Xenopus tropicalis: one gene and its partners. The protein of the gene in region 1 interacts with the protein of each later gene in a biochemical or structural test. Links are inferred from orthologs where the notes say so. Each region holds a gene or a part of one and is shown in the gene's direction. Other genes may lie near its edges.

Region 1 (3,500 bases):
ATCTACTAAAAAACATTTACATTTTTAAAAAAAGCATTGAAAAGGATTGTTTTGCTATCCGTATGGATTTATGCAGTTAGCTACCTTCAAGTAGAAGGCACTGTTTTATAACTACAGGAAACTGTTAAAAAATAAAATAAATGTAAAAATAAACGGGAAACGTCATTCCAAGCTTTCTGGATAATAGAGCTATCCTACGACTGTATATCCATATAATACACTAAAGCCCTGAATAATCTGTAAAATGAATACAGTACTAAGTCAGAGCCACTCTGCCAACTTAGTACACCATGTGTGAAGTAGTGAGCTTGAATCAGGCAAATAGGCTTTGGTGTGTGGTATAAAGGAGTTTTTATCCAATGTGCTGATTTGTTTTAGAGAAGCTCTTAGATGCCTCCACACATAATAGGTCTGGGTCCTGCTAGTGGTCCCTTTGGAGGATCTGGTGAGTTCCATAATGGTGGGATTGGGGGGTTAATTATTATAAAATGTTTGCAATGCAAGCCTATTTTTTTTTATATTTTAATTTCTTTAACAGAGCCAAAACCTGTATATGCCCAGCCAGGACAACCAGATGTGGATTTGCCAGTCAGCCCATCTGATGGACCTTTCCCTAATTCTACACATGAAGATGGCATGCTTCGGTAATGCACACTTTCTGTTAACAACATTTAAAAATGCTTAAAATTGTTATTAAAACTGTTTTAAGGAATCCTTCCTTTCTTCTAAGAATAGGTGCTTTGTAGCCACCTTCTTTCTTTAGGGTGAAGACACACAGAGCTACTAGTAGCAACTGCTTGTCATGGCTACTAAAATAGACAATGCTGATTGTTTATTTATAACAATAGGAGAGGCAATTCTCAGTATTGTCTTTGGCAGAGCATTTTCTGGTGTTAAGTAACCTTAGCAAGAAGATGCTACTAAGTAGCTCTGTGTGTCCTCACCCTGACTGACCAAGGAGAATTGCCACTGTATAAGCTAGTGGCCTCTTTCATCGAAATACTCAACATACTCCCTTGCATTTCAATCAGCACTAATTTATCAACAGTAAGAGGGCCAAGAGGTGCCCTTCCAAGTTAAATGAACTGTAGTGCTACCCCAAATGTAAACCTTAAAAAAAATTTTTTTCAAAGAAGAATTCTATAATCCACAGGGACATTTGAGAGAAAATAAATTTGTTTTATAGATTGTTTAATTATTGTTTAGTGTTATTTACACAGTGTGTATTGAATATATGCTGTAGCATGTATGAATTTTTTTAGTACGTCTTTTCTAAAAATTATACAGATAGTTCAGATATTATAAACTTTGCTTAGATTTATTTGTTCCATGCTAAATTTACTTCTGTTTTTTGGAGGCCAAGCATGAAACTGGTGAAGTTCAGGAAAGGAGACAGTGTAGGCCTTCGTTTGGCTGGTGGTAATGATGTGGGAATTTTTGTTGCTGGTGTATTAGACGACAGTCCTGCCGCAAAAGAAGGTTTGGAGGAAGGGGACCAGATACTCAGAGTAAGTAGCAGTAAAATTTTATAATGCAAGATTTTTTCAGCTCTACTGTTATGCTATGAGCATTAATAAAAGTACATAATAGAAATACAGGTGGAAAAAGTAGAAATGTTGCTTATGGATATCACACTATTTCCTGAAGTTTACACTCACAAGGTTAACTTACCCTCAATGGAACATGAAAATCCCAACTACTACATTTACATTTTCATGTTGTCATAAACTTTGAAATAGATTAGTATAAATGATTGTTTTAAACAAAGAATGCTGTCATGGGAAAACATGTTTTTTTTCCCCAAAACACATCAGTTAATAGATCTTCTCCAGCAGAATCCTGCGTTGAAATCTGTTTTTCAAAAACACTGATTTTTTTTATATTTAATTTTGAAATTTCACATGGGGCTAGCCATATTCTTCATTTCTTAGAGTGCCTCAACCATGTGACCGTGCTCTAAAAAACTTCAGTCACACTTTACTGCTGAGCTGCAAGTTGAAGTGATATCACCCCCCTCCCAGCAGCTGATCAGCAGAACAATGGAAAGCTAGCAAGATAGCAGCTCCCAGTAGATATCAGAATAGCGCTCCATGGTAGAAAATACAAGTCCAGCTTGTGACTTCTCCAGTTACATGAGAGTAGGAGAAACAATAGGTTAGCTGAAAGCAGTTCTAATGTGTAGCACTGGCTCTTTCTGAAAGCTCAGACTCAGGCACAATGCACTGCCTACACACCAATATCACAACTAAAAAAATACATTAGTTGGTTCAAGAATAACATTTTCAATGGTAGAGTGAATTATTTGCTATGTAAACAGTGTAATTTAGAAATAAAAATTATACCATAAAAAACATTACCGTATCCCTTTAAGTGTGTCATTCCACCTACTATTATTTAGCAGGGATTTTAGTTATTCAATGTTAAATAGACAAAGAACAAGGAAGTGCTTAATTTCACTTTTTTAATCTGTAATATTCCCCTCAGGAAGCTTTATTAAAAAACAAATGTGTTTGTATTCATGTGTTTGCGAGCTGCAATACTCCTTGATATAAAATCTCACACTATGCTTTTTTTCTGCTAGACGGAAAAACATGGCACCCATTTGCCACTGAATAACAGGCACATTTTGGCCCAAATACAGCTGTGCATAAATGGCCGAAATCCTCCTTGTGTTCACAGTGACGCATGGATGCCATTAATAGCATGGGGCAGAATTGGCTGGCATTAATTTTGTTTCCACTTCCAGAGAAATGCCTAATGTGACAATTAGCTACAGGGTGTATAGTGTTCTTATAGCTTGAATTAAGCCAAGTGAACTATGTTTTGCTTTATTATCCCATAATTTCTGATGACCCTTGTAAATAAAAGTGCTAAGTGGGATTGGTTGTTTTTGTGCAACCTTCAGTTCTAAATAATCCAAACTAAATGCAAATATTAAATTTAATTTTAGGTTAACAATGTGGATTTCACCAATATAATAAGGGAAGAAGCGGTACTGTTCCTTCTTGATCTGCCCAAAGGAGAAGAGGTTACCATTCTTGCTCAGAAAAAGAAAGATGGTAAGTTTTCTTGCCATAAGTTGGCCATGAATATGAAAATATTTGTGTTTATCATTAATTAAACAATTGTATATTTTGCAAGCATTACCTCTTCATGCTGAAATTTAGAATGTACCATATTTGTGTTTCCAGTGTATCGCCGCATTGTTGAGTCAGATGTTGGGGATTCATTTTATATAAGAACTCACTTTGAATATGAGAAAGAGTCACCATACGGGCTAAGTTTCAACAAAGGAGAGGTCTTTCGAGTTGTGGATACTCTTTACAATGGCAAACTAGGGTCATGGTTGGCCATTAGAATTGGTAGAAATCACAAGGAGGTGGAAAGAGGGATAATCCCCAACAAGAATAGGTAAGTGGTTACCAGTTTTACAGGTTTCTTTTGTATTTTTGTGTACTTTAACTGTATGGATAGTAGAGCTGTTTGGTTATGCTTGTGTG
Region 2 (4,260 bases), about 56 Mb from region 1:
TACACAGGGAGTAGATACAGTGTATCAGGGGATATTACTATAAAGTTACACAGGGAGTAGATACAGCGTATCAGGGGATATTACTATAAAGTTACACAGGGAGTAGATACAGCGTATCAGGGGATATTACTATAAAGTTACACAGGGAGTAGATACAGTGTATCAGGGGATATTACTATAAAGTTACACAGGGAGTAGATACAGCGTATCAGGGGATATTACTATAAAGTTACACAGGGAGTAGATACAGCGTATCAGGGATATTACTATAAAGTTACACAGGGAGTAGATACAGCGTATCAAGGGATATTACTATAAAGTTACACAGGGAGTAGATACAGTGTATCAGGGGATATTACTATAAAGTTACACAGGGAGTAGATACAGTGTATCAGGGATATTACTATAAAGTTACACAGGGAGTAGATACAGCGTATCAGGGGATATTACTATAAAGTTACACAGGGAGTAGATACAGTGTATCAGGGGATATTACTATAAAGTTACACAGAGTAGATACAGTGTATCAGGGGATATTACTATAAAGTTACACAGGGAGTAGATACAGCGTATCAGGGGATATTACTATAAAGTTACACAGGGAGTAGATACAGTGTATCAGGGGATATTACTATAAAGTTACACAGGGAGTAGACAGACTGTATGGGGGTAAATAGACGGTAGGGTCATAGATAGACTGTAAGGGGGGTAGATATGCTCTATGGGGGGGTAGATATGCTTTATGGGGGGTAGATACCTTGTATGGGGGGTAGATACACTGTATGGGGGTAGATACACTGTATGGGGGGTAGATATGCTCTATGGGGGGTAGATATGCTTTATGGGGGGTAGATACCTTGTATGGGGGGTAGATATACTGTATGGGGGGTAGATACACTGTATGGGGGGTAGATATACTGTATGGAGGGTAGATATACTGTATGGGGGGTAGATACACTGTATGGGGGGTAGATATGCTCTATGGGGGGGTAGATATGCTTTATGGGGGGTAGATACCTTGTATGGGGGGGTAGATACCTTGTATGGGGGGTAGATACCCTGTATGGGGGCAGATACAGTGTATGGGGGTAGATATACTGTATGGGGGTAGATATACTGTATGGGGGGCAGATATACTGTATGGGGGTAGATATACTGTATGGGGGGCAGATACAGTGTATGGGGGCAGATATACTGTATGGGGGGCAGATACAGTGTATGGGGGCAGATATACTGTATGGGGGGCAGATACAGTGTATGGGGGCAGATATAAACTCTATGGGGGGTATTATTGTTCCATAGAGAGAGAAAGAGCCTCTGATGTCACCGGTTTCAGTTGAGTCACCGTTTCACTCTCTCAGGTGCCCGGAGGTGGTGACGTCACGGTAGCTGGGCGGGGCCGGGGCCGGGCTCATATAGAAGGCGCAGGTGTCGCACCTGGCTCAGGTATCGGTGAGAGAGCGGAGGAAGGAGACGGATCGGATTCTATCGGCCGGGGATAAACTACTCGATCGTTCGGAGCCCCCCCCCCCCCCCCAGCAGCAGCGAGGAGTAGGGGCCCCTGTGTGTCCCTGAGCTTGTACTTACCCCCCCTAGTGCAGGGGCAAAGGACTCCTACCTACCCCCACACTCCAACCCCCCAGGGATGGCCAACTCCGGGCTGCAGCTGCTGGGCTTCGTACTGGCGCTGCTGGGATGGATCGCACTAATCGCAGCGACTATTATGCCGCAGTGGAAGATGTCCTCCTATGCCGGGGACCAGATCATCACGGCGGTGGCGATTTACCAAGGGCTGTGGATGTCTTGCGCCACCCAGAGTACGGGGCAGATTCAGTGCAAAGTCTATGACTCCCTACTGCAGCTGGACGGTAAGTGCCCCTGGGGCATCCTGTGTGGGAACTGCCCCTCCCCCACTTGTTTTCCCCTGCCCCAAACCGGTCTGACCGGTTCCGACTGGACTCTGTAACTGCCCCACCCGCCCGCCGGGCTCGGCTCTGGCGCTTCCTTGTGGGGGCAATCAAGTGGGGTGGGGTAGTTTCCCTTCCCTGTATGGGGTAACTGCATATTGACCCTTGTGCCCCGCCGTAAGGTGAAGGGCTTTATTTTCAGCCTTTGTTGCCCCCAGGTGGGGTATTTACTTACACATTACTGGTCTTAATGACGTGTTAGTTGCCCCTAGTTACTTGGAGGGGTGGGGGCTATTGTGTTAATGTGCCCTAAGTTTATTATTGCCCTCTCTAGTGCCCCCTTTCTTTGTGATGTAATGGTTCTGTGTTTATTGCCCCAGTGGCTGTTTATCTGTGCAACAGTAGCCCCAGTAGCAGCGATTCTGCCCGTTATGGCAGTGGTTTATCTGTGGAACAGTAGCCCCAGCCGTGTATCTGCCCCTGTAGCAGCGATTCTGTCGCTTATGGGCCGTTATGGCAGTGGTTTATCTGTGTAACAGTAGCCCCAGCCGTGTATCTGCCCCAGTAGCAGCGATTCTGTCGCTTATGGGCCGTTATGGCAGTGGTTTATCTGTGTAACAGTAGCCCCAGCCGTGTATCTGCCCCAGTAGCAGCCCGTTATGGCAGAGGCTTATCTGGGGTTGGTGCTGCAGGCTGCACTGGTATCTCTTATCTGCTGCTGATTAGACTGGGCCCAGATAGTGGGGTTACTGGGTTATCGGAGTTCTGCCAGTTTATATAGGAGGCTGAATGGCTGGGGTGTGTACAGCATGTATAGCGGCCGGGGGTTAGGGCCAGGTGTAGCATCATTCTGTAGGGTTATTCCTGGGAAGTGAATGGGGGGGGCACTACAGGGGGAAACGGGCTGAATGGGGGGGGGGGGGGTAGGAAACTGCAGATCTCCTCCCCACTTTACCTTTCCCAATCCCACCCCCTCACCTGGTTTCTGTGAAACTCACCTGCCCCTCCTTTATTGCCTTCCAATGGCTCCTCCCCCTTCTGTCCTCCCTACTCACCTTTCCCCTTCCTTCCCGGTAGCCATTCACCTTCCCTCTGCCCCCCCCCCCCTGCCCCCATATAGCAGAGATTCAAGTAAGATTTTGGGGGTGGCCCTTGGTATTCTAGGAGCTAGGGCTGTTAATCTGTATCCTTACTGTGTGTGATGGGGGGTTAGTCCCATTCCTTTCTTTCACTTTCACTGAGAATGTGTCCAGCGCCCCCTGCTGGGCTGAGGCCAATGCCACGCCCTGGGCGCATCTCATGATGGCGTCGGTGCATTAGGGTATGGGGGGCAATAGATCGGCCTATATGGTCCTGCTGTAAGCTGTTTGCCCCCCGTGGGGTAAGTTTGTGAGTCAATTAAGGCAGTGGCCCCGGGTTGTTTATTGTATGTTCTGGTTCTGGCCCGGCCTTATACCCCTGCTGTATGGGGCTGCCCTGATGCCCCTGTGCCCACTGATGCCCCTATGCCATGTATGTCATTCCTTGCAATAATATAGTACATGGGGGTAAAGGCAGGGGATTCTCTTGCCACAAGAGCTTACAGTCTAAAGGCTAATGGGAACCTGTGCTGCTCGGCGGTTACACTGCACCTGCTGCCACACGGGCCCCAACGGATTCCTCCTTTGAAATGGGGGCGGAGTTTCCCAGCCAACCAGTCGGGGTGATTCATGTCTTGGCAGGTATCCAATCCAGTGCAGCCAGCGGCAGGTAACAGGCTGTAATGCAGGGAGTCAGGTTGCAGCTACTGAATGTTTCCCTGGGGGTGTCATTGTGTTGCTGACTCTGCTGTCCCATGGGGGGTGCTGGGCTTGTGGGTGGGGCACGGTGCATCTATATATGGGTGGCACACTGGTACCGCTGCCTGGCAGTGCCCGGCTCACTGCTTCTGATATGGGCGCTGTCTGGGGGAAAATAGTATGGGTATTCTCCCTAAGGTGGTATTGGCCCACATGATGACAGGGGCCTTAGATTGTAAGCTCACTGGGGCAGGGGCTGATGGGAATGGGATAGGGACCTTAGATTGTAAGCTCACTGGGGCAGGGACTGATGGGAATGGGATAGGGACCTTAGATTGTAAGCTCACTGGGGCAGGGGCTGATTGGATAGGGACCTTAGATTGTAAGCTCACTGGGGCAGGGGCTGATGGGAATGTGATAGGGACCTTAGATTGTAAGCTCACTGGGGCAGGGGCTGATGGGAATGGGATAGGGACCTTAGATTGTAAGCTCACTGGGGCAGGGGCTGATTGGATAGGGACCTTAGATTGTAAGCTCACTGGGGCAGGGGCTGATGGGAATGTGATAGGGACCTT
Region 3 (3,803 bases), on another chromosome or scaffold:
CACCTGTGAAAAAAGGGGAGGAATTTGTGATTGAGGTCTCTGTGCAGAAAATAGGAACCAGGAAGTGAGGGGGTACAGCTGGGAAGGCTGATGAAAATGGCTAAAGTTGTGAGTTACATTTCTATAATTGTCCTGCATCAATTTGCCATAATAGTGGGTGATTTACCATCCAAGAGCATTGTCATTTCTGTTTTAAGAAGAATGTTTATTGCATACAGTATATTTTGTACAGGTATGGGATCCCTTATTCAGAAACCCCTTATCCAGAAAGTTCCAAATTATGGAAAGGCCATGTCCCATAGACTCTATTATAAGCAAATAATTCAAATTTTTAAAAAAGATTTCCTTTTTCTCTGTAATAATAAAACAGTACTTTGTACTTGATCCCAACTAAGGTATAATTAATCCTTATTGGGGGCAAACCAATCCTATTGGGTTTATTCAATATTTAAATGATTTTTAACAGACAAGTTATGGAGATCCAAATTACGGAAAGATCCCTTATCCGGAAAACCCCAGGTCCCGAGCATTCTGGATAACAGGTCCCATACCTGTAAAATGCCCCTGTTTTGTGGAAACCCTGCTGCCCTGCTGGCAAATACATATTTGAATTTACATTGGGTGCTTCTGCTCTTACTTTGAAAAAAGGTAAAACCACGTTTGCAATTTGTGTGAATGCCCATAACCTCTACTTGTGGCTCTGACAGCTGCAGACCTCTCTCCATAATAATCTGTGACGCATTGTTTTTTTGGACTTATTCAGTTTTCCACTCTTTGAGGCTCAATTAGTTGATTAATCATAGTCCCAAGAATATCTAGGACAGCAAATACATGTTCATCCCAAATCTCATTCTTATTGTCCTTCAAGATGGGCTCCCAGTAATGCCTAGGAGAGGAAATAGATATTCTCCCAATTTCTATCCCTACCTGGCCTTCGTTTGCAAGATTGCAAACCCTGCAATGGGTTCCATTCCCCCCCAGACTGGGAACCACTGCTTTAATATGAAGCGGTGGCCTCTAGTGGCATAGAAATGCTTGCTTAACTTACCCACCCAGTAACTTTGCTTGTAATACTATTTCATGCGTGGGAGTACCAGAGATTTAAATGCAAACATAAAGCTTTAATTGCTAAGTATAATGTTCTATAAACACAACCTTTTAGAACTTTATAATAACTTCTTTAATTTCGTTTCACATGTCTACAGTATATGCTGGAGCAACAGTTAATTACTTTGTGGATTTAACATTCTGTTGCAAGCACAAGCAATACAGAGGGAAGGGGATAGATTAAAGTGTCCAAATTCCAGGGGGAATTATTTTTAATACGGGTGACGTGCAGCGCTTATACTGCTTTGCTCTCTATGTGCAAAGTAAATGAAAGTTGCAATAGAGCACCCAGGATATGGATTGATGGAATAAAATAGTAGATGGTGCAATGAAGCAATCTGATGCTGTTTATCTCCAAGATCAGGGGAGATAATACTCACCGGCAATCAGTTGGTTTATAAAGATGTCACAAAAGCAGAAGGTACGTGGGGTTGTTAAATAGCTACAAACATTATCATAAGGGGCACTAACAGACACGTAGTACAGTGTATTGACTTACATAACATGTCACAAGCGTGACAAGTTAGTCAGAAGCTGTCATACAGTGTGGAGGTGTTATAATGGCAATAAAGAATGATAAACTGCATGGGGATAGTAAAACAGAGGCGGTAGGTTACACAACATAGGTAGGTTTCTCTGACAAATGATCAAATGGCTGAGGATGGGGGAATGTTTGATTTCTATTTTTCAGAGATAACGCGGTCAAGGAGCATTTGGCTAATCAATTTGTTAGTGAATATTTAACCCCCCCCAACCTCCACCCTCACCCCTTCCGTCTCTGTTTTTTACCTTTTTTTATTTGATTGTAGGTCTATAAAGAGGACTCCACAGCCTATTATCCGATCCAGAGATTGTAAGATCAGAGGCTGTAGACAGCTGCCACATAGAAAGTGTGAGAAGAGGTGGCAGTGCCATTCCTGGCACTGTGAAAACTCCAGGAGAAAGTGCAGAGAGTGGAAAAGCCAAAACAGATGTTCCGTTTAAACTGGCTATATGTGTGCACACAATGACCGTGAGCTAAAGGCTACAGAAAAAGAAATACTCTGCTAACACAGAGATACACCACTACTCTGGAGACTGTCTTAATCAAAAACAAGTAGTCTTTTATACAAGAAGAGACAGCAAAATGACGTCTGTAGGCCTTCAGATGATGGGTTACTTCATGGGCATCCTGGGACTAGTTGGCTCTGTTGTTGCCACACTTATGCCCAACTGGAAGGTAAGCTCATATGTTGGTGCCAGCATTGTAACAGCTGTGGGCTTCTCCAAAGGGCTGTGGATGGAGTGTGCTTCCTATAGCACAGGCATCACACAATGTGACATTTACAACTCCATGCTGGGGTTACCATCTGATACCCAAGCTGCTCAAGCTCTCATGATCACATCTTGTGTACTGTCTTCACTAGCCGGCCTCTTCTCAATCTTTGGTATGAAATGCACCATCTTCTCTCAGGACTCCCCTGGGAAGGCTAAAATAGCCATTGTTGGAGGGGTTTTATTTATCCTAGGAGGTGTCCTATGCTTGGTGCCAATTTGCTGGAACCTGCATTCTATTCTAAGAGACTTCTACAACCCTATTATTGCTGATTCAATGAGGTATGAAATTGGACCTGCTCTCTATCTGGGCATTATGTCATCAATTGTCTCAGTACTTGGAGGCTCCATTCTCTGTGCTTCATGCCCACCCAGAGAAGAGGGTCATGAGTTCTACAGCAGGTACCAGAGGAAACCTCTAGTAGCCAACAAGGGAGCAAATGCTACTGTCTTAACAGAAACCTCTAAGCGTGAACAAAGTGGGTACAATCTCACAGGTTATGTATAGGAGGTTAGTAAAATAAAAAGGAATTGTCCTTGCTCACACCGGCATCTTCTTTCCAGGAACATGTATGCAATGTGAACAGTGCAAGAACTTAAATTATACTTAAACTAAACTACACTGGACTACTGTGTGTTGAAGAAACATTTGTTCAGAGAAACATTTGTGAAGAATGCACTGATAATGCAAAGGCAATACAAGTACAGGCTCTGAGGCTGAAGGCAGGGGGCGGTCGGTGGTTGAAATGAAATTTTACCTGACTGACAGTTATCAGGGATTTAAGTAATTTATACTTAAGGTGGCCATAGACCAGCAGATCCGCTCGCTTGGCCAAGCGAGCGGATCTTCCCCCGATATCCCCACCTACGGGTGGGCGATATCGGGGAGCATTATGTGGGCAGCAATGGGGCAGTCGGATCGGGGACCGCATCAACGAGCCGATGCGGTCCCCGATCCGACCGGATTTTCTAACCTGGCCGATCGAGATCTGGCCTATTTCAGGCCAGATATCGGTCGGCCAGGCCGCTCTGCCCTGCCCATACACGGGCCGATTAGCTGCCAAATCGGTCCAAGGGACCGATATCGGCAGCTATAGTCGGCCCGTGTATGGCCACCTTTAGGGTCCTGTCTTTATTATTGTTTAGCAAGGGCAAAACTAGGTTGGGCCCGTAACTAACATATTGTTTCCATTTGCAGATTACATGTTAATAAGAGAGGGATTTTTGTAATATATAGTTCCATATATAGAGAGATTTTTAGGTTCTGTGTATATATGTGACATGCAGCAATTGCCTGTTAAGTGTTATTTGGGACTTAATCATTTCTGACCTATAACATGGATGATGGAATTCTATCTGCAGGCTGTCAGTGTCAAACTCCA
Region 4 (3,936 bases), on another chromosome or scaffold:
ATCAAGACAGGGCGCTATCTGCAAGGAGTTGTATGTTCTCCCTGTGTCTACAGGATCAGACTAAGCCGGTGGGACACTGAGAAAAAAACCCGGTGGGCCCCACTGACCCAGACCCCATCACCACCGGGAAGCATCATATCTCCCCTGCTGCTCTCCCTCCCCAGATTGAGCCTAGGTAAATATGAGATATATGCGCTGGGGAGGGGTGGATGGCAGTGGTCGGGTGTCAAGGGCCCCTAAGGGTGTTAGGGGGCCCCAGTGGGCCCCACACACCCCAGTTCCACCCTGTGTGCAGTGTCGGTCGAGATCCGATCCCCCCAGGGTGCTCCCATGATTCGCCATCTCCCTCCCCCGACCCGACGCAGGTAAGTTTCTTTTAGGAGAGCTCGGGGGTGGGGGTCGGAGGGTGTTGGGGGCCTCTGCGGGGGGGGGGGGGCAGTGAAGGCGGCAGGGGCCATTTGGGGGTGCAGGGTCTCCTGAGGCAGAAGTCCCGGTGGGCCCTGCACCCCCTAGTCTGACCCTGCCTGTGTGTTTTTGTGGGTATCTTTATAAATACAGGCCGGTAATTTATCAGTAGGGGCCTCAGATTGTAATCTTCACTGGGGCAGTGAGTGATGTATAATCTCTGTAAAAGCTCTGTATAAATAAATGATACTAAAGATTAGGATTTGGAGCATCCCCAATTCTTAGAACAAATATCTGAAAGCATTTTTATCACAAAGCATTTGTTGGTTTCCGCAGCCACACTCCATTATTTGTTACAGTACAAAACACAAGCTTTCAAAAGCGACGCAGGGTATGCTGGGATTTGTAGTCCAACAGACAGGTAGGACCAATAACAACGCTAAAGTATATTCTGTACATAGTGTTTTTATGCAGCGGAATGAGCAGTCTGATAGAAGAATGAAGAAGAATGGAAGTGGTTTATAAATAAATGTACTTTCACACTTCAGCCAGCGCTGAGCAGGGAGAGATTACAGGGAGGGGATGCAGAGCAAGCGGTGGTTGGAGGGCGCTATTAGCGGCGCTGCGGGTAGGGGGCGCCAGAGCGGCACATTCCTGTGCATCCCGCACTTCCCCGTTACAAGGTGCCTGCCCCTCTCACTGTTGGCTGTGCCGCTCGGTCTGCGCTTATTCTCTCATCTAACGGACTCGGAGGATGCGGTCTCCAGCCTGTGCGATCTTTCTCGGCTACTTTGCGGCGCTTTGCTGTAAGTTTCTGGGATCTTTACTGAACTCCGCTGCTTTGGGCGCTTTCTGTCGGCACTTTGTGCTCTGTGTGTGTCGGGGGGTTGTGAAATCCGGGCTGGGAGCCTTTGTCCTGCCTGCCTGCCCGCCTGCCCGCCTGCCCACAGGGACCCTCACTCCCATACTTTCTGCATCCCCCCTCATGGGCTACATGTTTCCCTGCTCTGCCTGCATGCCGGGGATTGGCTGCTGCTACTGCCAAATTCTCTATTAGGCTATTAGTGCCGGTCTGACTTAGAATATTATATACTGCTGGCTCCATGATCCGCTATTACATCATTATTGCTCTGTGTGACTTTATTTATTATATTTCTGCCCCCAGGATTCTGTATGACATCATTAGTGTTCTGTGTGACTTAATTTATTATATTTATGACTTTGGGATTCTGTATGACATCATTTCTGCTCTATGTGACTTAATGTATTATATTTCTGACTTCAGGATTCTGTATGACATCATTAGTGTTCTTTGTGACTGAATTTATTATATTTCTGACTTCAGGATTCTGTGTGACATCTTTAGTGCTCTGTGTGACTTTATTATAATTCTGCCCCCAGGATTCTGTATGACATCATTAGTGCTCTGTGTGACTTTATTTATTATATTTCTGACTTAGGGATTCTGTGTGACATCATTTCTGCTCTGTGTGACTTAATGTGTTATATTTATGACTTCAAGATTCTGTATGACATCATTAGTGTTCTGTGTGACTTAATTTATTATATTTCTGACTTCATGATTCTGTATGACATCATTAGTGTTCTGTGTGACTTAATTTATTATATTTCTGACTTCATGATTCTGTATGACATCATTAGTGTTCTGTGTGACTGAATTTATTATATTTATGACTTCAGGATTCTGTGTGACATCATTAGTGCTCTGTGTGACTTTATTGTATTTTTGACTTCAGGATTCTGTATGACATCATCAGAGCCCTGTCTAACCTAGAATATTATTTTGCCAACTTTTATAAGAAGCCTGGCACATTTTAACCATATTAAGTCCACCAGCCTACTCCCAGCATGCACAGTGGTTATTAAATATGGGCATCAACTTAAAATGGACTTGATATTCTGGTACAGACTGTTCATACTTTTTCAAGATTCCAGTATTTACTCTTAGGGTGAAGACACAGAGCTACTAGTAGCAGCTACAGAAATAGACAATGCTGACTATGTATTGATAATTGAGGCATATCTCAGTATTGTCTATGGCAGGGTATTTTCTGGCATTTAGTAGCCGTGAAATGTTGCTGCTACTAAGTAGCTCTGTGTGCCTTCACCCTTAGAGTTTAAATGAGCAGTGGCACAAAGGGTGGACTGCATTACCTGTGCAATGTAGCGGAGCATTGATAAGGGCGTAGATATGTTCTTACCTTTGGGGGAACCTTGGGTATTGTATTTGCAGCATGTGCTTCCCTGTGTGACTGGGGTATATACAGGTATCGGACCCCTTATCCGGAAACCCATTATCCAGAAAGTTCCGAATTACGTAAAGGCCATCTCCCATAGACTTCATTTTAATCAAATAATTCACATTTTCAAAAGTGATTTCCTTTAATAATTTATCTGTAATAATAAAACAGTACCTTGTACTTGATCCCAACTATATATATATATATATATATATATATATATATATATATAGATATAATTAATCCTTATTGGAGGCAAAACAATCCTATGGGGTTTATTCAATATTTAAATGATTTTTAGCAGACTTAAGCAGTGGAGATCCAAATTACGGAAAGACCCCTTATCCGGAAAACCCAGGTCCCGAGCATTATGTATAATGGGTCCCACACCTGTACTTAGTGCCAGTTTGGACTGTGACCCAAAGGGAAGTCTTTTTGGACACAAGTGGTTTATGCCAAACTGATTTACAGCAAATGGCTTTAAAGGGAGCTATCCGTTGTTATACTGCTGTTTAGGTTTATTTTATCCTAATATTTTAGGGGGGTAACAAGTGTATCTGCCATACCCAGCGGGGGCTCTCAGGCTCCAATCATTTTTCCAGGATGGTAGTTCAGCCACCTGGGGGATACAGTTCTGCAACAGCTGGGGGGCCAACAGGTTAGATATGAGTCTGGGTTACACCCTGCATGCCTCTGTATCCCTGCAAATAAACTGGATTATTTGATGGTAAAAATAAAGGAGATGGTTAGCAGATCACATGGTTTAAATGACTTTGCTGTTTCCAGCCATTAGGGAAATAGATGCACGTGTGCGACGGGGAGATTAGGGGACGCGCTGCTGCTGCTGCTGCTAAATCCACTCTCGGAAAGTTTCTTTGCTAGTGACCCGTTTCTCTCTCTCACACATCTATATTCAGGTTGCTCTGAGTGACCTATTTCTCAGTTACATATATGTACAGGTTGCTCAGCTCTCACACACGTGTGTACAGGCTGCCTGTGTCTCATTCACATGTATGGGCAGATTGCGAGTGGCCGGCGTCACATTCACATACATGTGCAGATTGTGCAAGATAGAATGTGCATCTTGCTCCATTTTTAGCATTTTTAAACTGTCTTTCCATTGCTCCTGCAATTTTTAGCAACTTTGCAATATACATCAATGAAAAATATGCAGCCTTTTTATGATTTTTAATGTAATAATATGGTTTGGAACAGTTCCCTAAGCCCCGCCCCCTGTTCCCCTGCTGATCTGGCTGACTACTTTTCAGTC
Region 5 (4,206 bases), on another chromosome or scaffold:
CAAGTTGAGATCCCCCTGTGGTGATGAGTAGAAGGTGATTCAATAAGCTATAGTGATAAGCTGGTAGGAGGCAGAACTAGGGGTAGACAGAAGGGAGGGGTACATGCCTAAACCCCCCCCCCCCCCCCCCCCCCGTTCTGTGGGCCTTAGGCACCTGCCTCATCTGCCTTTCCCTGGTTCTGGCCCTGGTTGCCATGATTTTTACTCACAATGCAGTGTTTTCGCAGTTTATTATGTTTAGCAGCATTCCAGTTTCGAATTTTAGCAGCTATCTGGTTGCTAGAATATAAATTACCTTAGGAACCAGGCAGTGGTTTGATTGAACTACCCCTCTAACTTGCACCTACCTCAACTTGCTCATGATGCACCAATAGATACAAATTAGTGGGCATTTTTGGAAATTATGTTCCCTGGATTTGTGTTTGAATGTATCACCTGCGTATGAAGTTAATAAAAGCATTAGCATTTAATGCATTTAATACAAGGAAATTGCAACTATTGCTGCAACCTTGCTGATAGTAATTTCAGGAGCATATATGGAAGCAGGTACCTTTCTGGATTGCACAAATACATTTACAAACTGGGGATCAGGGCACAATGTGCAAAAAAGCAGGAACAAGCAGCCATGTTTTTGCATTGTGCACACCGCCTTTGTCATGATCGCCCAAATGGAACACAAGGACCTATGTTTTCCCAATGAATACAGTGCTGCATTTATAAGGGGTGGGCTAGGGGAAGCTTGTAGGTTTTCCTTAACCCACCCCCTAACTTGCTTGTCATCACATATGATATAAAGAGCGCCAGGGCTGCCTTGCACCCACCAAGCACTGCCCCCAGATACAAGTCCTGGGTAACAGTTAAGTATTTTGTAATTAACAATTTTCTCTTGTGTTTATAAAAAAAGTCTTAGCCTGAAATATTTGTTATGATGTTTTGCCTAACATGTCTTTTATTAGCCCAAACACACAGGGCTAAAACCTCTGACACTGACCGCAACTGAGTTACAAAGTCTGTAATGAGACAGTTTGTCAGCAACCATTACTCTTAATGTGTCTGATTCATTTATTTTTCCACTGCATTGTTTAAAGCTCTTGCAAATTCTATGGCTGTTCTATAGCTTGGTGAAAAACACCTGGCTTAAAAAATATGTATTATGGATGAGGACAAAACAATGACTACATTGCTGGAATCAGCTTTGCTTTTAACTCCCCTGCAGTCAAAGCAAGCAGAAAAAAACATTTGTGGTGTCACAAATGTGGTGGGAGGTGGTGATGAGTCTTTCATTGCAAATGATTATCCTGCTGAGCCAATGCAATTCTAAGGACTGCCACTGGGAGGAGAACTCAAGTCACTTTAAATAAGGCAGATAAGCAGAAGTTTTCAGTTAGAAGATAGACCTGGACGACCACTGATGAACTCTTCCTTCTCCACTTTTTTCTGACTTGAGAAATTTTCAGTCTACATTTACTTAAAGGTCCTCCTTAGACTACAGAAGAGCGGACAAGCTCCTGCTTCAGAGGGTGGCCAAGTGGTAACTTATTTTATCCACTCAAAAGGATGGCCAACGCAGGCTTGCAACTTTTAGGATTCGCCTTAGCTTGTCTGGGCTGGATTGGGTTTATAGTATGTATTGCAATCCCTCAATGGAAAATGTCATCGTTTGCTGGGGATGCCATTATCACAGCACAGATCACCTATGAAGGACTCTGGATGTCTTGTGTAATGCAGAGCACAGGGCAGATGCAGTGCAAAACCTATGACTCGCTGCTGAAGCTGGACAGTAAGTAGATTTTTTTTTAATTTCATTTGATAATATATATTTCTATGGCTATCTTAAATGCTCAAAAGTATGTGTGCATATATATATATATATATATAAGCATGTAGAACACAGAGCACTCATTGGACTTAAATTATGTGCACAAATTGAACGCAGATAATTTTAGGTACATGAGTGCTCTACATGCTGATATTATTTTTGTGGCAGCACCTGGGCCGCAGCACCTGGGCGTGTGCACTGTCTTTCAAAATCTCTCCCTCTCTCTCTTTCTCTCTCTCTCTTTCTCTCTCTCTATCTCTCTCTCTATATATATATACAGGTAGGGGACCCGTTATACAGAATGCTTGGGACCTGGGGTTTTCTGGATAAGGGGTCTGTCTGTAATTCAGATCTTCTACATTAAGTCTACTGAAAAAATTATTTAAACAGTAATTAACCCCAATAGGATTGTTTTGGCTCCAACTAGGATTCATCATATCTTAGTTGGGATCTAGTACAAGGTTCTGTTCTATTATTACAGAGAAAAAGGGAAACCATTTATAAAAATGGGAATTATTTGATTAAAGTGGAGTCTATGGGAGATGGCCTTTCCGTAATTCAGATATTTCTGGATAATGGGTTTCCGGATAAGGGGTCCAATACCTGTATATCAATTTATACATGCTCTGATATGTTTGGTCCAGGCCTTTGTCCTTTTACATTCCCTTCTTTGTTGATAGTCCACTACTTTACATTTGAAACAAGAATTTTTGATGACAACAGAGAAACTGAGCTATAAAAATTGATGGATAGAGTATGTGTAATTATACTCTAAGTGCCACTACACCTTTGACAACGAATCATCCAGTTATTACCAATGAAATGACAAGTTTATGTTGGTGTTATAAAATACCAGCTTCAATTTAAATATTATTATAATACATTGGCATGGTGTTTATCTTAACTTGCTGGTAATATGACAAAATAATTGTAGCCTGCTGAAAATCATGAATTCTAAGTCAATAAGTAAAACACATTTGTTTCGAGGTAGAAATGCTATTAGGCTTGGCAAGATCACCTTCTATTGATGGCTCATTGATAAGCAGCCTGCTTATTTCATTGCGATTTATTGGATTTATTGGGTTTATTGGGTTGACCACAGTTAGGTACCTGGTTTTATATGAAATAGTCTAAACGTGACATGACAGCCATCTGGCTATGGAAAACATTGAACATAAGTATATTAGGTTGTCCAAAGAGAAGGTACCTGGTGTTATATGAAATAGTCCATAACACTAACCATGAAATGAAGAATGCCTCAAGTTACAGAACTCCTGAAGATTTGTTTTGTGATGTATTAAAAAACAGGAGTGCTGAACCTTCTAGTGAATCATAACTCCCAGTATCCTCTAATAGCATGCAAACAATAGAGGATGTTGGGAGTTGCTATTTCCAGCAGCTGCATGGTATCATATTTTGTTTTAATACTGCCAGAGTACATGCTTCATTTGTAGTGTCCATGAACAGCTTGAGGCCATGTTCAGGTTTTATGAACATTTTTCAGAACAGAATGACCCTGTGTGGCAGTTGTAAATGGGTTAAAAGGATCCACTTGAGAACACAAGAGAATTATATATGAAAATAGCTGCCTCCTTGCTGGACACCCTAGTATTGTTTATAAAGGGCTAGAGTTAGGTATTTTTCTTTGCACAAAGGATAACATCCTTCCTAAGGGAATGTTGTTTTTGGATAACTCAAAGACTGGGAGCCCATATGGGGGGCAGGATTCTTTTTCTTATGTTTCTTAGATGTTGATAGTTCACCAGTTATTCTAAGTTCACAAAGCAGAGAACAAGCAGCCCCTCCTGCAAGATTCCTTCATAATACAATCAGTTAAGGTGTGTCCTGCTTATAATACACTGATACCCCTGTGTAGCATCCAAAAATATTTGATCATTCTTTATACAATAATCTTTCATTTATGTTTTTTATTATTATTTAATATGATTTTATCAGTATATGTTGGACAATACAGATAACAATTAGTTAGTAAAACTAAGACACACAACCATAAAGGAGACTTGTAACCTCAAAATCAACTGAGGACATCTACACTTAATCCCAAACACTGGTCCTTTTAATACTAATAAGAAAGCAACTTTCTCTGACAATGCCAATGTGCCAAATGCATTTGGCCTGGATGAGAACAAATGTTTATGCCTGGTTAATGTTTCAGGAATATGTAGCTGTTGTAAGTAAGCAGAATAGCCTGACAGTTAAAGCAAAAGTCTTAATTATTAAAAGACATTGCTTAAGGAACTGAACAGTCCTTGTCTCTTGCAAATCTTCCTGCCCTGGTAGAAGCACAGGACTCTGCAATGGATCTAAGGTGCTATCATTAGTCTGCATTAGGGCTGACATTGCATATTATTTTATTATTATTCTTT

The links. The genes of interacting proteins can lie anywhere in the genome.
Region 2: the proteins of tjp1 (region 1) and cldn7 form a complex in vitro, tested with the Homo sapiens proteins (2 studies listed by BioGRID and IntAct, with this or other methods). The link is inferred for Xenopus tropicalis from reciprocal best matches to the Homo sapiens genes TJP1 and CLDN7.
Region 3: the proteins of tjp1 (region 1) and cldn2 form a complex in vitro, tested with the Homo sapiens proteins (2 studies listed by BioGRID and IntAct, with this or other methods). The link is inferred for Xenopus tropicalis from reciprocal best matches to the Homo sapiens genes TJP1 and CLDN2.
Region 4: the proteins of tjp1 (region 1) and jam2 form a complex in vitro, tested with the Homo sapiens proteins (2 studies listed by BioGRID and IntAct, with this or other methods). The link is inferred for Xenopus tropicalis from reciprocal best matches to the Homo sapiens genes TJP1 and JAM2.
Region 5: the proteins of tjp1 (region 1) and cldn1 form a complex in vitro, tested with the Homo sapiens proteins (2 studies listed by BioGRID and IntAct, with this or other methods). The link is inferred for Xenopus tropicalis from reciprocal best matches to the Homo sapiens genes TJP1 and CLDN1.

The regions. Positions count from the first base shown.
Region 1 is NC_030679.2:97,716,247-97,719,746, reverse strand, and holds part of tjp1 (tight junction protein ZO-1), read left to right. Parts: intron 1-538; coding exon 539-644; intron 645-1,357; coding exon 1,358-1,508; intron 1,509-2,950; coding exon 2,951-3,059; intron 3,060-3,191; coding exon 3,192-3,411; intron 3,412-3,500. UniProt on the Homo sapiens protein: TJP1, TJP2, and TJP3 are closely related scaffolding proteins that link tight junction (TJ) transmembrane proteins such as claudins, junctional adhesion molecules, and occludin to the actin cytoskeleton.
Region 2 is NC_030679.2:153,399,185-153,403,444, reverse strand, and holds the start of cldn7 (claudin 7 precursor), read left to right. Parts: upstream 1-1,460; 5' UTR 1,461-1,645; coding exon 1,646-1,868; intron 1,869-4,260. UniProt on the Homo sapiens protein: Plays a major role in tight junction-specific obliteration of the intercellular space.
Region 3 is NC_030684.2:37,315,428-37,319,230, forward strand, and holds cldn2 (claudin-2), read left to right. Parts: upstream 1-1,437; 5' UTR 1,438-1,528; intron 1,529-1,916; 5' UTR 1,917-2,233; coding exon 2,234-2,929; 3' UTR 2,930-3,303; downstream 3,304-3,803. UniProt on the Homo sapiens protein: Forms paracellular channels: polymerizes in tight junction strands with cation- and water-selective channels through the strands, conveying epithelial permeability in a process known as paracellular tight junction permeability.
Region 4 is NC_030678.2:18,672,716-18,676,651, reverse strand, and holds the start of jam2 (junctional adhesion molecule B), read left to right. Parts: upstream 1-1,136; 5' UTR 1,137-1,159; coding exon 1,160-1,211; intron 1,212-3,936. UniProt on the Homo sapiens protein: Junctional adhesion protein that mediates heterotypic cell-cell interactions with its cognate receptor JAM3 to regulate different cellular processes. Plays a role in homing and mobilization of hematopoietic stem and progenitor cells within the bone marrow.
Region 5 is NC_030681.2:104,248,575-104,252,780, reverse strand, and holds the start of cldn1 (claudin-1), read left to right. Parts: upstream 1-1,406; 5' UTR 1,407-1,557; coding exon 1,558-1,780; intron 1,781-4,206.